Canis lupus familiaris: one gene and its partners. The protein of the gene in region 1 interacts with the protein of each later gene in a pairwise test. Links are inferred from orthologs where the notes say so. Each region holds a gene or a part of one and is shown on either strand. Other genes may lie near its edges.

Evidence for each region.
Region 2: the proteins of PRKCI (region 1) and PARD6B interact in binary tests that used the Homo sapiens proteins (3 or more experiments, as listed by UniProt). The link is inferred for Canis lupus familiaris from reciprocal best matches to the Homo sapiens genes PRKCI and PARD6B.
Region 3: the proteins of PRKCI (region 1) and PARD6G interact in binary tests that used the Homo sapiens proteins (3 or more experiments, as listed by UniProt). The link is inferred for Canis lupus familiaris from reciprocal best matches to the Homo sapiens genes PRKCI and PARD6G.

What each region holds. Positions count from the first base shown.
Region 1 is NC_049255.1:35,023,628-35,027,931, reverse strand, and holds the start of PRKCI (protein kinase C iota type), read right to left. Parts: upstream 2,925-4,304; coding exon 2,824-2,924; intron 2,666-2,823; exon of another isoform or gene 2,380-2,665; intron 1-2,379.
Region 2 is NC_049245.1:37,740,337-37,743,930, reverse strand, and holds part of PARD6B (partitioning defective 6 homolog beta), read right to left. Parts: intron 220-3,594; coding exon 1-219. UniProt on the Homo sapiens protein: Adapter protein involved in asymmetrical cell division and cell polarization processes. Probably involved in formation of epithelial tight junctions.
Region 3 is NC_049222.1:475,471-479,118, reverse strand, and holds part of PARD6G (partitioning defective 6 homolog gamma), read right to left. Parts: intron 325-3,648; coding exon 102-324; intron 1-101. UniProt on the Homo sapiens protein: Adapter protein involved in asymmetrical cell division and cell polarization processes. May play a role in the formation of epithelial tight junctions. The PARD6-PARD3 complex links GTP-bound Rho small GTPases to atypical protein kinase C proteins.

The DNA of each region.
Region 1 (4,304 bases):
GGAACGCAATTTATTTGCTAAAAAATTCTGGTTATTCCAAGATTCAACGTTCACTGGAAAGAAATACTGTTAGAAGGGAGTAAGAAGGCTTTCTGATAACAGCCTTTCATAAGATCTGAAAGAAAAACTTTTTTCAAATGCAGATTGACCCTACATTTCTTGATATAAAGGATTTTTCTATTTAAAAATGAGGTAGGTGTTCTAGTTAGCCAACCTGTTTATTAGCTATCCTCATTGGTGACTCATTTTAGTTTCATCTGTAGTAATGAGCAGCTGACTATGTAATATCAAAACCACCAGTTTAGACTATTGTTAATAAACATATAATCTTAACATCTAATTTCAGGGGACAGAAATTGGAACAATTTAGAGAGTGCTGATGTTGTCTTTAAATGAGGCTTGAAATGAAGGCACTATTAGAAAGCTTTCAACGAATAAAAAGCAATAAAGGTCAAGGGCTAGATTCTTTCATTCCTTAGCAAAAATTCACAGATGTTAAAAAACAAAATGTTAACTTGAGAATGTCTTAGAAAAATTTTAGTCAGGCACTAAAAGTATATGCCCTCTTCTATTTTCTTTTATAACAATAATTATAGTAATAAGCCAAGAAAATTTGACACCTAACATTCCTTAAATATATTTTTATTTCTTTCTAAAGAAGTTTATAATGATTTTAATTTACTAACTAGGCCTTTTTAGATTTGTCAAACGAATAAAAACAGGAGAAAGAAACCTAATTCCTTCCTCTTCATATTTAAAGTCATCGGAAACTATTTAAATTTAATAAGCCAAGAATTTGCATTGTTTAAAGTCATAAATGCAGACCAGAGAACTGAAAATAATAGCTTAAGAATCAAAAATTGAAAAGCACCAACCAGGAGAAGGACAAGCAAAAGGTAGCATTCACCCAATTTCTCATCTTTCAGTGGAAGGAACCAATAGGTACCACCTAAAGTTGAATCATGAAAGAGAATAAGGTAATAAAGAATAAAGGCAAACCTCCAGAAGAACAGAAATAAACTGTTAACAGTCTACCTCTGGAAGTGGGGAGGATGAGATGGAAGACACTTTTTTTTTTTTTTTTTTAAGATTTTATTTGTCAATTCATGAGAGACACAGAGAGAGGCTGAGATACAGGCAGAGGGAGAAGCAGGCTCCCTTCGGGGAGTCTAATGCAGGACTCCATCCCAGGACCCCAGGGTCACGTCCTGAGCAAAAGGCAGAAGCTCAACCACTGAGCCACCCAGGTGCCACGAGAGACACTCACCTTATACCTCTGTACAATTTGCACATTCCTACCATGTGAGTATATTCATTTTTAATCCCGTTTTTTTTAACTGTCAATAATGAAACACTTAAAAAAAAAAACACATACTATATATTTCATTCTCTTTGCCTAACAGCTCATGGACTGTCAATTTTATAAAATGGCAACTGAATTAATCTCTTAATTAAAGGTAAGGTAAAGGAAGCAAAGCTTTTTTCCCCCACAGTGCAAAGTTCATTGACCATATTCATGTCAAAACTGCGCTTGTGACCACTACAAACTTAAAAAAAAAAAAAACCATACACACACTTCTTAGTATTGTTTTTAAAATGAAGACCTCCTTGATCAATTTAAGCAAAAACGCGGATACTGTCCAAAATAATTCTTGTAAACTATGCTGAATAGGCTAACAAACAAGAGGTCAGCGGCTACACAGCAGCGAGTGATTAAGTGGTTACATCAAATCAATAAGACGTTTGACGGCTCCTATTTCCTTTAAAATCAAAACAAGAGAGGTGTTTTGAAAGTTTGCTATCTTCACTGATCCTCTCAGGAATGTACAAGTATGCACTGCAGTCTCAACCTCCTAGTGCTTGAGGGTTTTTTTTTTTTCTTTTTTTCTTTCTTCTTTTTTTTTTTTTTTTTTTTGAGCAATTTACTTCTGCTTGGACAAACAGTAAGACAGGCCAAAGCCATTGGCTTTGCTGTTAACCCTTTGCCTCAAATCTTGGCCTTCACACGACCATTTCACCTTTCTAATGCTACTAAAGGTAATCATCTCAAATTTCAAAACGCAACTGAAAACAAGGGAAGGGGGATACTCCAGGTCACTGATTACAGGGTATGATCTGATACAACAGTATTAGCACTAGGTCCCTCCTGGTAAGCACAGGAGCTCTAAGTTGGGGAATCTGAGTACATAGCACAGATTTTAAAACCACGCCTCGGTTCGCCCCCCTCTCTCCTTGCAGCGTCTCCCCCTGTCCAGTAAGTGGTCCCTGAGCCAACACTGACAAAGGAGCGTTCACAAATTTTTAATTCGCACCTATACGACCTGCTCTTGGCGAGACCTGAGTGCCTAATGCACGGCCCTAAAAAGGCAGCAACTTTACCCGTGAGCAGTAACTCCGCGTCTCCGAGGGAGGCAGGCAGGCAGCCGGGCGGGCTCAGAGCAGCGCGCCGACTCCTCTGCGCCGCGAAGGTGGGGCGGCCCCGGAGCAGCCGAGGCTTCGGGCCTTGGGCTGCTGGCGGAGCCGGCGGACTACGGGAGTCCTGGCTTTTCAGCCCGCGGCCACCTTAGCTCGCCCAGGCGCCCCTCGGAACCAGCCCTGAACCCCACACGCACTCGGGCTCAAGGGCGCAAAGCCCCCGCGCGCCTCTTGGCAGGCGGCGGGTCTCGAAGCCACCAGGTGGACCCTCTCCATGCCCAGGCTCCGCCCTGGGACCCTCGCCGGACCCGGGCCGGACCCGGCTGCACCCGGGCGCCCCAGCGCCACCCCGCGACCGCTCGGCGCCCCCCGCCCCGCGCTGCCCTCCCCGCCTCCCGGGACACTCACCCGCGGTAGTAGGCTTTCACCCGGACCTGGTGGGAATGGTCCCCGCTGCCGCCGCCCGCGATCGCGTGAGACATGGCACTGCTGTCCCTCTGGGTCGGCATCTCCCTGCTCCCCCGCCCCAGCGCGGAGGCCGAGGCTGCGGGGGGCGCGCCGGGCGCCGGGGGCGGCGGGGGCGGGGGCGGGCGCGCTCCGCTGCAGAGTCTCCCGCTCGGCCTCCCGCTCGGCCTCCCGCTCGGCCTCCCGCACGGCCTCCCGCTCGGCCACCTGCGCGGTCCGCCCGACCCGAGGGGCGCCTGGCCGGGGCAGCCGGAACCGCGCGGCTCCTCCCGCCGGGCCCAGCACGCCTCCCCTCCGGGCCCTCCCACCTCGCCCGCTCCAAAGGCGCACATTCCGGGGGAGGGCGGGCGCGACCATCCGAGCATCTCCAGGAGCCTCGACGCCGGGCCGAACCATCCTCACGGGGGCCGCGGAGAGGGGGGCGGGAGGATGGCGGCGCCGGGTGGCACATCGGTGGGCCGGGGAGGGGCCTCCGCGGCCCCCGCGACTGAGGGAAGGCCAGAGCTGTCCGCGAAGGGCGCCCTCCCCACGGGGGACACGGGCGGGGGCCCGGGCTGCGGCATCTCACCCCGCGGCCTGACTTGGTCCCGCCCGCCGCCGGCCCGAGCGGGGCTGGGCCGGGTTTCTGGGATTTGCAGTCCCGGTGGGAGGCCGGGCCTGGAGGCTCTCGGCGTCGGAACCCGGCCTCCCCCGCGCAGCCGCCCGAGTCCGAGCCCCGCGTGCGCGCCCCCCGCAGCCTCGGCCAGGGGCTCGCCCGCCTGGAACCCCGGCTGCAGCGTGGGCACCTGAGGTCGCGGCGAGCGGTTGGGCTTCGTCCCCATCTCTACAGTGGGTTCCCCGATGCAGTCCCCCTTCCAGCTGCATGCACCAGCTCCAGTGCACGGTGCCTTTTTTGGAGGACGAGACGCTGGTCAACCGGCTGGGCACACGCTCTTTTATGGAAAGACTTTAATAACATATGTAACAAATGTAGTAAAGGAGGAAACTCAGCTAGAAGGTGTGGAAGACCGGCATTGCCTCCTTTGCAGCCCCCCCCCCCCCCCCCCACCGCACCTTGGCCCTGGTATATCGCCATCGCCTGGCACAGGTGCACAGTGGTTATCCGAGCCATCCATCAGCACTATTTTTTTTTTTCTATTCTTTTCTATCACTGGCTAGCCAAAGATGACAGTATAAAGGATCCGTCTTTGTAGCTTAGTCTCTGATCTTCCATTGATCTTGGCTCTGGCACATAGTGCAACTACAAGGAGCAATGAATCCAGCTCCGGCTTTGGTCCTGGCACCAGCACATGCTAAAAAAGGTTGAAATAATCAAGACTATAACCTGCTTTACTGTGATAAAATAGGGCTGGAGGATTGACTCATCAGAGTTATGTCTGACACTTCGTCTGCGGTGATGTCCTTTAACTGCTACAAACGTGGAT
Region 2 (3,594 bases), on another chromosome or scaffold:
CTAAAGGTTTCTCAGTGCCGTATTTGTAAAGACGAACCCTACGATGTGTTTCTGGGAGAATATCCACGTCTATGATAGAAGACACAGGTCTGAAGTCTTGGGGCATACTAATGACTATATGTGGCTTTTTTCTGTGGTTGTCAGGACGTAATACATTGGTCAAAACATTTTTCTTCTTTATTAGTGTGTCTGTACCAAAGGCACTGTAGTCTGCTTCTTCTGTTTAAAAATAAAATAAAATAAAATTACAGAAATGCTGTAAAAACACCCATTTAACCACAGTTGAATCTATATAGAAGGGATAACTCACATGTGTTGGTACATAAACAATTTAAATATTAGCTTGTTTTTAATCATCAAAATATAGTGCAGTAGTTAGATTTGCTGAACTAACACACAACCACTAGGGGGCCCTCTCAAGCACACGTCATAAAATCCCAAATGCTGAATTTGATAAACCTCAAGGATGATTAAATAAAATTGAGGGGAAAATGAAATTCTGATAAGCCTTACGAACGCATTCTGAAACATCATTTCAAATGAGTTACTTAAAATGTATTTTCCCTTCATTTGTTTTTTAAGAAACTCCAGGCTGGCTGTCTATCTCTTACTCAATGATCTAAAATGGGACACTTATGATTCCCAAGGTAAATCAAGAGAACGAACCTACACCACAGGCTAGCTGGGCAGATAATGTAATTAAATGAAACAGTATGCAATGTAATTAGATGAATGTATATCTAGAACTTAGGAAATTTTGGTTTTCTGCAAATAAATGTTCTCCTCTCAATTTTCTGGGGGGAGTTCTTCATTTTCATTTCCTTACTTTGGAAAACTTTTTTCTTTACTGTGTGAAAAACAATGAAATGCAAAGGAATCTGTCTCGGCAGTAGTGGCGGCAGCGCAGACAACACAGAGTGGGAGGACTGGCAAACTGGAGCGCCCTGGCCTCCTGGAACGGCACAGTGGCCCCTTGCTCCTGGCAGTCTTTCTTCGTCTATAGCAATCTGTGTGGCCAAATCCAATTTGCCACGGAGCCTTGTTTTTTAAGTGAAAATTTTCTCATTTTTAAATGCTGACACCCAATTAAATAACAACAAAACCCAGTTTGAGTCAAATAACATCTGTGAGTTGAATTCATTCTTCCAGCCAGCAGTCTATAATCTCTGATGTAAACTAAGGGAAAACTGGGCATCTAAACCCAGATACACATTCTTAAATCACACTGCTGCAGGAAAAGACCTACAAACAAAACACCTCATCAGAGAATGAGAGGTAGAAAAGGAAATGAAATCATCAGGCATAAAACTTGAAATTATGTTTCAAATATAACAAAGAAGAAACTTAAAAGTCAGAATCTTCAAGGGTAAAAATATATTTCATAAGAACAAAGGAGACAAAAGCCCCCTCCCACAAGGAGCTAATTCAAAACCCTAGTCTCAGCTACTGCTCCAGACAACAGTACTCTCAAACTGAACTGTGGTTGGACAGGGTTCAGTTTACATGCTTTCCCTTGACTCTCACACTCTATTGACAATTATAATCATCTTTCCTCTCTAAACCAGGAAATTAAGGGTACAAAATAATGATTAAGAGTACAAAATACAGAGAAAAGACTGGATCTTAATTTTCTTGGTGGGCCAATACCTTACCCATGTACAAACGAGTATTAAGTGTCAGGTGTGTGACTGAGTATGGAGAACCTTGGTATTTTTTCTGTGCTTCTTTAACATTCTTCAAAATGTTGCAGAGAAACATACAAGACTAAGGGTACCTTAATTTTTGGCATTTTTCCCTTCTGGGGATAACTGTCTTCATTTATAAAGTATGTACACTGTGTTCTCAGAGACAAATTTATTTATAATTCGGCTTTGGAAATTAACCCACTGACAGGAGAATCTTTTTGGCAACATTTAACCAAGAGCCTATCAATGGTAGTCTTCTACTTAATGTATTTTCTCAAAAGTATATGTTTTCATTTTAAAACAATTAAGAAAACTCACATAATATTTATAAGGAAAATTCGAGACCATACACACTGAGAACAAAATTAAGTTGCCTGCATGGGAAACCCGATGAAAAAAAAAGAGAAAACCACCCCAAATCTGCATAATTTGGCATCGCATCCAGACTGTTTGAATGCTCTCTGCTAAATTCTCAAAAGCAATATGCCCCAGTACAAAGGCACCTTTGTTCTCCCATCTAGCTAATCAGTTTCCAGCCACTGGGAAAAGAAATATTTTGGCAGAAAGCCAGGGTGCAGAGTGTTAAAGTGTAAAGGTGACTGTCCACAGGGAACCAGGAGTTCACTTTCTACCTGAGTCTGTGTATCAAAGCACTAAGCTGAGAATAAGATGGAAAGTTTGCAAACCGGGTTCACAGCAACCTCCCTGCTGTAAAAACCCAGGCTTATGCAACAGAACATGATACAGGCTTATACAGCAATCCCTCCCTCATCCCAAGCCTGTCCCTCAGCCACAATCTCGGCTGACTACAATCAACAAGGATCCACTTGGAATGCCTCTGAGTAGCCAAACTGCATGTTTCACTTCCTTACATGCAGAAAGCACAGTCCTGTGCTTTACTTATAGAGGGACCTTGTGGGTACTCCCTCTAGACCTCTTACTCTTTAAACAGTTAATTCCGAAAAGCCTGGTTATCTCATTCCTTAACTCCCAGAGTTCCAAGTCACAGATTCAGAGCAGGGGGGTCAGGGTCTAGTAGTGGTAGGCACAGATACACAAAATAAAAGCCTACAGTGTTAAAGCAAACATGGGGGGGGGGGGGAGCGGAGAGAAAAAACCAAAACCCAAACCCTCAAATAATCCCCATCATCATCCGTGTACAGTAACAAAACAGTAACAGTTCATGGTAGGGTCATCAAGAAAGTTCAAGATTATGACCCATTTGAAGTTCAGTGAGAAGACAGGGAAGAATGAAGTAATTTTTGTAATTCTTCTATTCCAAGGTTGACAACCTTCTCCCCTGAAGAGCTGTATGTAAGTACTTTAGGTACTACAGGTCATACAGTTGCTGCTCCAAGACCAGCCATAGCCAATACATAAAGGAATGAGCATGGCTATGTTCCAAGAAAACTTTATTTACAAAAACAACCAGCAAGCCTTGTTTGCCAACCCTTGTTCTAATCCAAAATGGTTAAATGAACTAGATCTGGCAACTTTTAATGGATTAAACATCACCTAAAGCAATATTCAAACTAAGCAAATCCCTCCCCTTCCTAATATAAGAATAACCAATCACTAAACATTTCAGAATCATTGCAATGAGGCCAAGCTTTGTGTTCTACGCTGCAGATTCAGCAAACAAAAGAGTTAAGGTGGGTGCTTGCTTTCATGGTGCTTACTTACAGTGACAAGAGGAGATGGCAATTAGCAACTGCAAACAAGTTATTACAAAAGGAGCCAAGAGCAGTGGGGTAGGAGCCTAACCTGGCTTGCCAGGTGAGGCAAGGCTTCTTCTTCTTCTTCTTTTTTTTTTTTTTTAACAATTTTATTTATTTATTCATGAGACAGAGAGAGAGAGAGGCAGACACAGGCAGAGGGAGAAGCAGGCTCCATGCAGGGAGCCGACGTG
Region 3 (3,648 bases), on another chromosome or scaffold:
ACAGGCTACAAAAAAGAACCATAAGGTGCTGTGCTGCCCGACGTCCCTGGATGTGGCCTGTGTGTGATGGCACTGACAAGCAGCTCCCCATGCCCCGGTACCTCGCTTCTGGATGAAGACCCGGAGCAGAGGGTTTGCGCTTGAGACCGCCTTGCAAAAGTTGTCATCGTTGTTGATGGGCAGCAGGTCCCCGTGCACATCTGCATAGCCGATGGTCACATCTGTGTTGGCGATGTGGTGCGTGTGCACGACCAGCTTGTAGAAGTCTTCAAACTTCCCAGGCTTGTGCCGGTCCAAGGAGAACCTTCGGAACTCAGCCCCAAACTAAAACACAAGAGACAAGGTGTAAATGAGTAGCTTGTTCACTTAATGACAGGTGTGTGCCATCCTCCGTGAGGCCCAGGGACCAGCGGGGGTAGCTTGTGCAAAGTCAAAAGTGTGCAAGATTGTTTCTGTCACCTCTGACCCACATCCTGAGGACAGGACGGGTGCTAGAGCTCAGGCTGTCGAAGAAAAGCCCTGTTGAAATTAATTACAATGGGGATCCCTGAGTGGCTCAGCGGTTTGGTGCCTGCCTTTGGCCCAGGGCGCGATCCTGGAGTCCCGGGATCGAGTTCCGTGTCGGGCTCCCAGCATGGAGCCTGCTTCTCCCTCTGCCTGTGTCTCTGCCTCTCTCTCTCTCTCTCTCTCTCTCTCTATCATGAATAAATAAATAAAATCTTTTTGAAAAAAAGAAATTAATTACAGGGATGGTGGATGAGATGAACTGATTTGATATGATTTGCATTTCAAAAAGACCAAAGGGCTGTCCTTCCAAAGGATGGGAAGTGGAAGCAGAAGTGAAGGAAGTAAGGAAAGTGGTAAGAAGGAGGCCTCGGAAATCTCGGGAGACCTGGGTGCTGGCCAAAAACACAGAGCAGGTCTCTCTCCCTAAAAAGCTGGTATTCGCTCTGTCTGCTCTGGGGAATGCCCAGGCCCATCTTTCCTGACAGTCCCTGGCTCGGGGCCGAGAGTTATCTGCTGGGACAGGACCCTGGGTCACCTCCCACAGGCCAAAGTATCCTGGGACCCTGGCACACGGCCTGCCTGGCCTAAGGCTTTCTGGAGTTTTGCTGTTCCTCACTTGGCAAGAGAGACCTTTATTCCTCAGGCAGGACAAATGCAGCGCTCTTCAACATATCTGAAAACTAATTACAGGGGTTCCAAAATACACAAAAATGAAACGTCTGATGTTTATACTAAAAGAGTCATTACATCATCTAGATGTTATGTCAATTAGTCAAGGGCAAATCAACTCAGACCATATGGGTCTGTGTGGCTTTCCAATTGGGTGGGCATAAGAGCTACCTGAAGGCCCCAGAGGTCTGGACTTGGCTGACCTGGAGACCAGCCCGAGAATCTGCATTTTCAACAAGTTCCCAGAAGAAGCTGGTGCTGCTGGGCTGAGAACCAAACACATGAAACCTCTGATTTTAAGGCAATCTCCAAATCTCCAAGTCTGCAGATCCCTGAGAACCAGTTTCCCGATCCGTTTCCCTTTTCAAAAAGCAGAAGAAAACCAAGTCCTCAGCCATCCTGCATTGCCCCAGGGATAAAATACTTAAAGGCGCACAACAGTGAGACGTTCCAAAATACTGGTTTGAGAAAAGCCACCTTGGATGAGTAAGCAGAAGCCCCAGGGCCTCCCACACACTGGGTAAGGGGAGGAAGGCCCTGAGCTCACCAAGGCTCTGCTCATCCCTGCCGCAGCAGGAGGCGCCCTCTGAGCCCGGGCCTGTGAACACCGCACAGCAACCCCAAAATCCCTCCTGCATTATCTTCTCAGTGTTTATCCCGAGCACCATCACCTCCTGGCCCAGGGTGAGCAAACCTTTCAAGATTCAAGAGTTCACACCTACAAGATTTAAAGTGGTTTTGTTCAGATTTGGTTATGTCATCACATCATGAATATCTATTTCAACAAAAGCCATCATCTCTGCCATCTCTATCTAAGGCAAACTAACTTCTGGAGCAATTAGTTTTTACTCGTGTCCATGTTCTTTTCATTAAATACATAAAGAGAGTTGGAAGTTGGACTGTGTCCAGTGAAACAAGAAAGTGTCTCTCTTTTCCCAGGTCATTGGTGGGAGGTGATTCCAGCTGAGAGCCCCCCGGTGCGCCCCCATGAAGGGATGCCGGCTGCCCCCATCTCTGCAGGACTCAGGCCACATCCCTGGCAAGTGGTGAGTAAATGTCGCACAAGCCAGCCTGTTCTGCACAGCTTCTGCCCTGTCTTTGGTCTAAGAACCTCTCATTTCTTCTCACTGCTTCTAGTTGTTTTCTTCAAAATATGTCCTAATGTGTTGATCTGAAGTGAAAATGAATCCAGACTTCTTCCTGACAGGAGGCAAGTCTGAGTGGTGCTGATGAGGCTGACCTTGTTAATTCAGAAGGACGGCAAACACGGTTCCTATGCTGAATGGAACCCAAAGTTAGCAAAAAGAGATAGGAAAGGGGATGTTAGCATTTTCCCTATTTTTTATTGTGGCAAAATACACAAAACATAACATTTACTGTATTAACCATTCTTAAGTGTACAGTTCAGTGGCAGCAACACATTCACAGCGTTGTGCGAACATGCGCACCGTCCACGTGCCGTTTCCTCCTGTGAAGCTGAGTCTGTCCCGTCAGAAATGGATGCTGGGCCCTGTCCCTAGCCCTGTCCCCAGCACCATCCCCAGCACCATCCCCAGCCCCGTCTCCTGCCATGGCTCTAGGACCATGACACCTCCAACTCCTTCAAACAACTGCAATCCTATAGTTTTGTCTTTTTGTGATGGGCTTGTTTCCCTCATCAGACACATGATTTGAAACACTGTGTCTGTTCTGCTGGTTGCTCTACTCTTTGGATCTTAGTCCTTCTGAGGGAAACGTGATGGCTGTGGTTGGGGTGCAAGGAGAAGGAAGTGGATGGTCTCTCACTTGCCCGCTGACCTAGAGCACCAGCCATAAGAGCTTTTCTCAAAACTCTCCTCAGTGAGAACTGAGCTTTGAAGTGGTAACTGATTTGGAGTGAGGGGCTGGGTCTCCCCAGAGCAGCCCCCACTGTGGAATCCTGCTGGTTTGCAGGGACAAACGTGGGACAGCCTGCAAGTGACATGCACTCATCACTTGCCACCTTCCCTGGGGACCAAACGCCTGCGGGGGTCTCCGACCTTTCAGGCTGGTCTCCAGCCAACTCTGATGCTGGTTCAGGCATTGTCCTAGGCATCCCTCTACACAAACGCAGTTGTCTTCAAATGCCACATGCCTCCTAAAGAATTTTGAAAACTACCACTATAAAAAGGATAATATATTTTTAAGCTAGCATCTACATTTTTCATAATAAAATATAATAAAATATTTCAAAGTAAAAAAATATTTCAAAGTAAATAGGATATAATTTCTAGAGATGCCTGGTGGCTCAGTGGTTGAGCATCTGCCTTCGGCTCAGGTTGTGATCCCAGGGTCCAGGGATCGAGTCCCACATCGGGCTTCCCATAGGGAGCCTGCTTCTCTGCCTATGTCTCTGCCTCTCTCTGTGTGTCTCTCATGAATAAATTAATAAAATCTTGTTTTTTAAAGGATACAATTTCTAGCATACTGTAAACATTTCTTTTAAAAATAAAT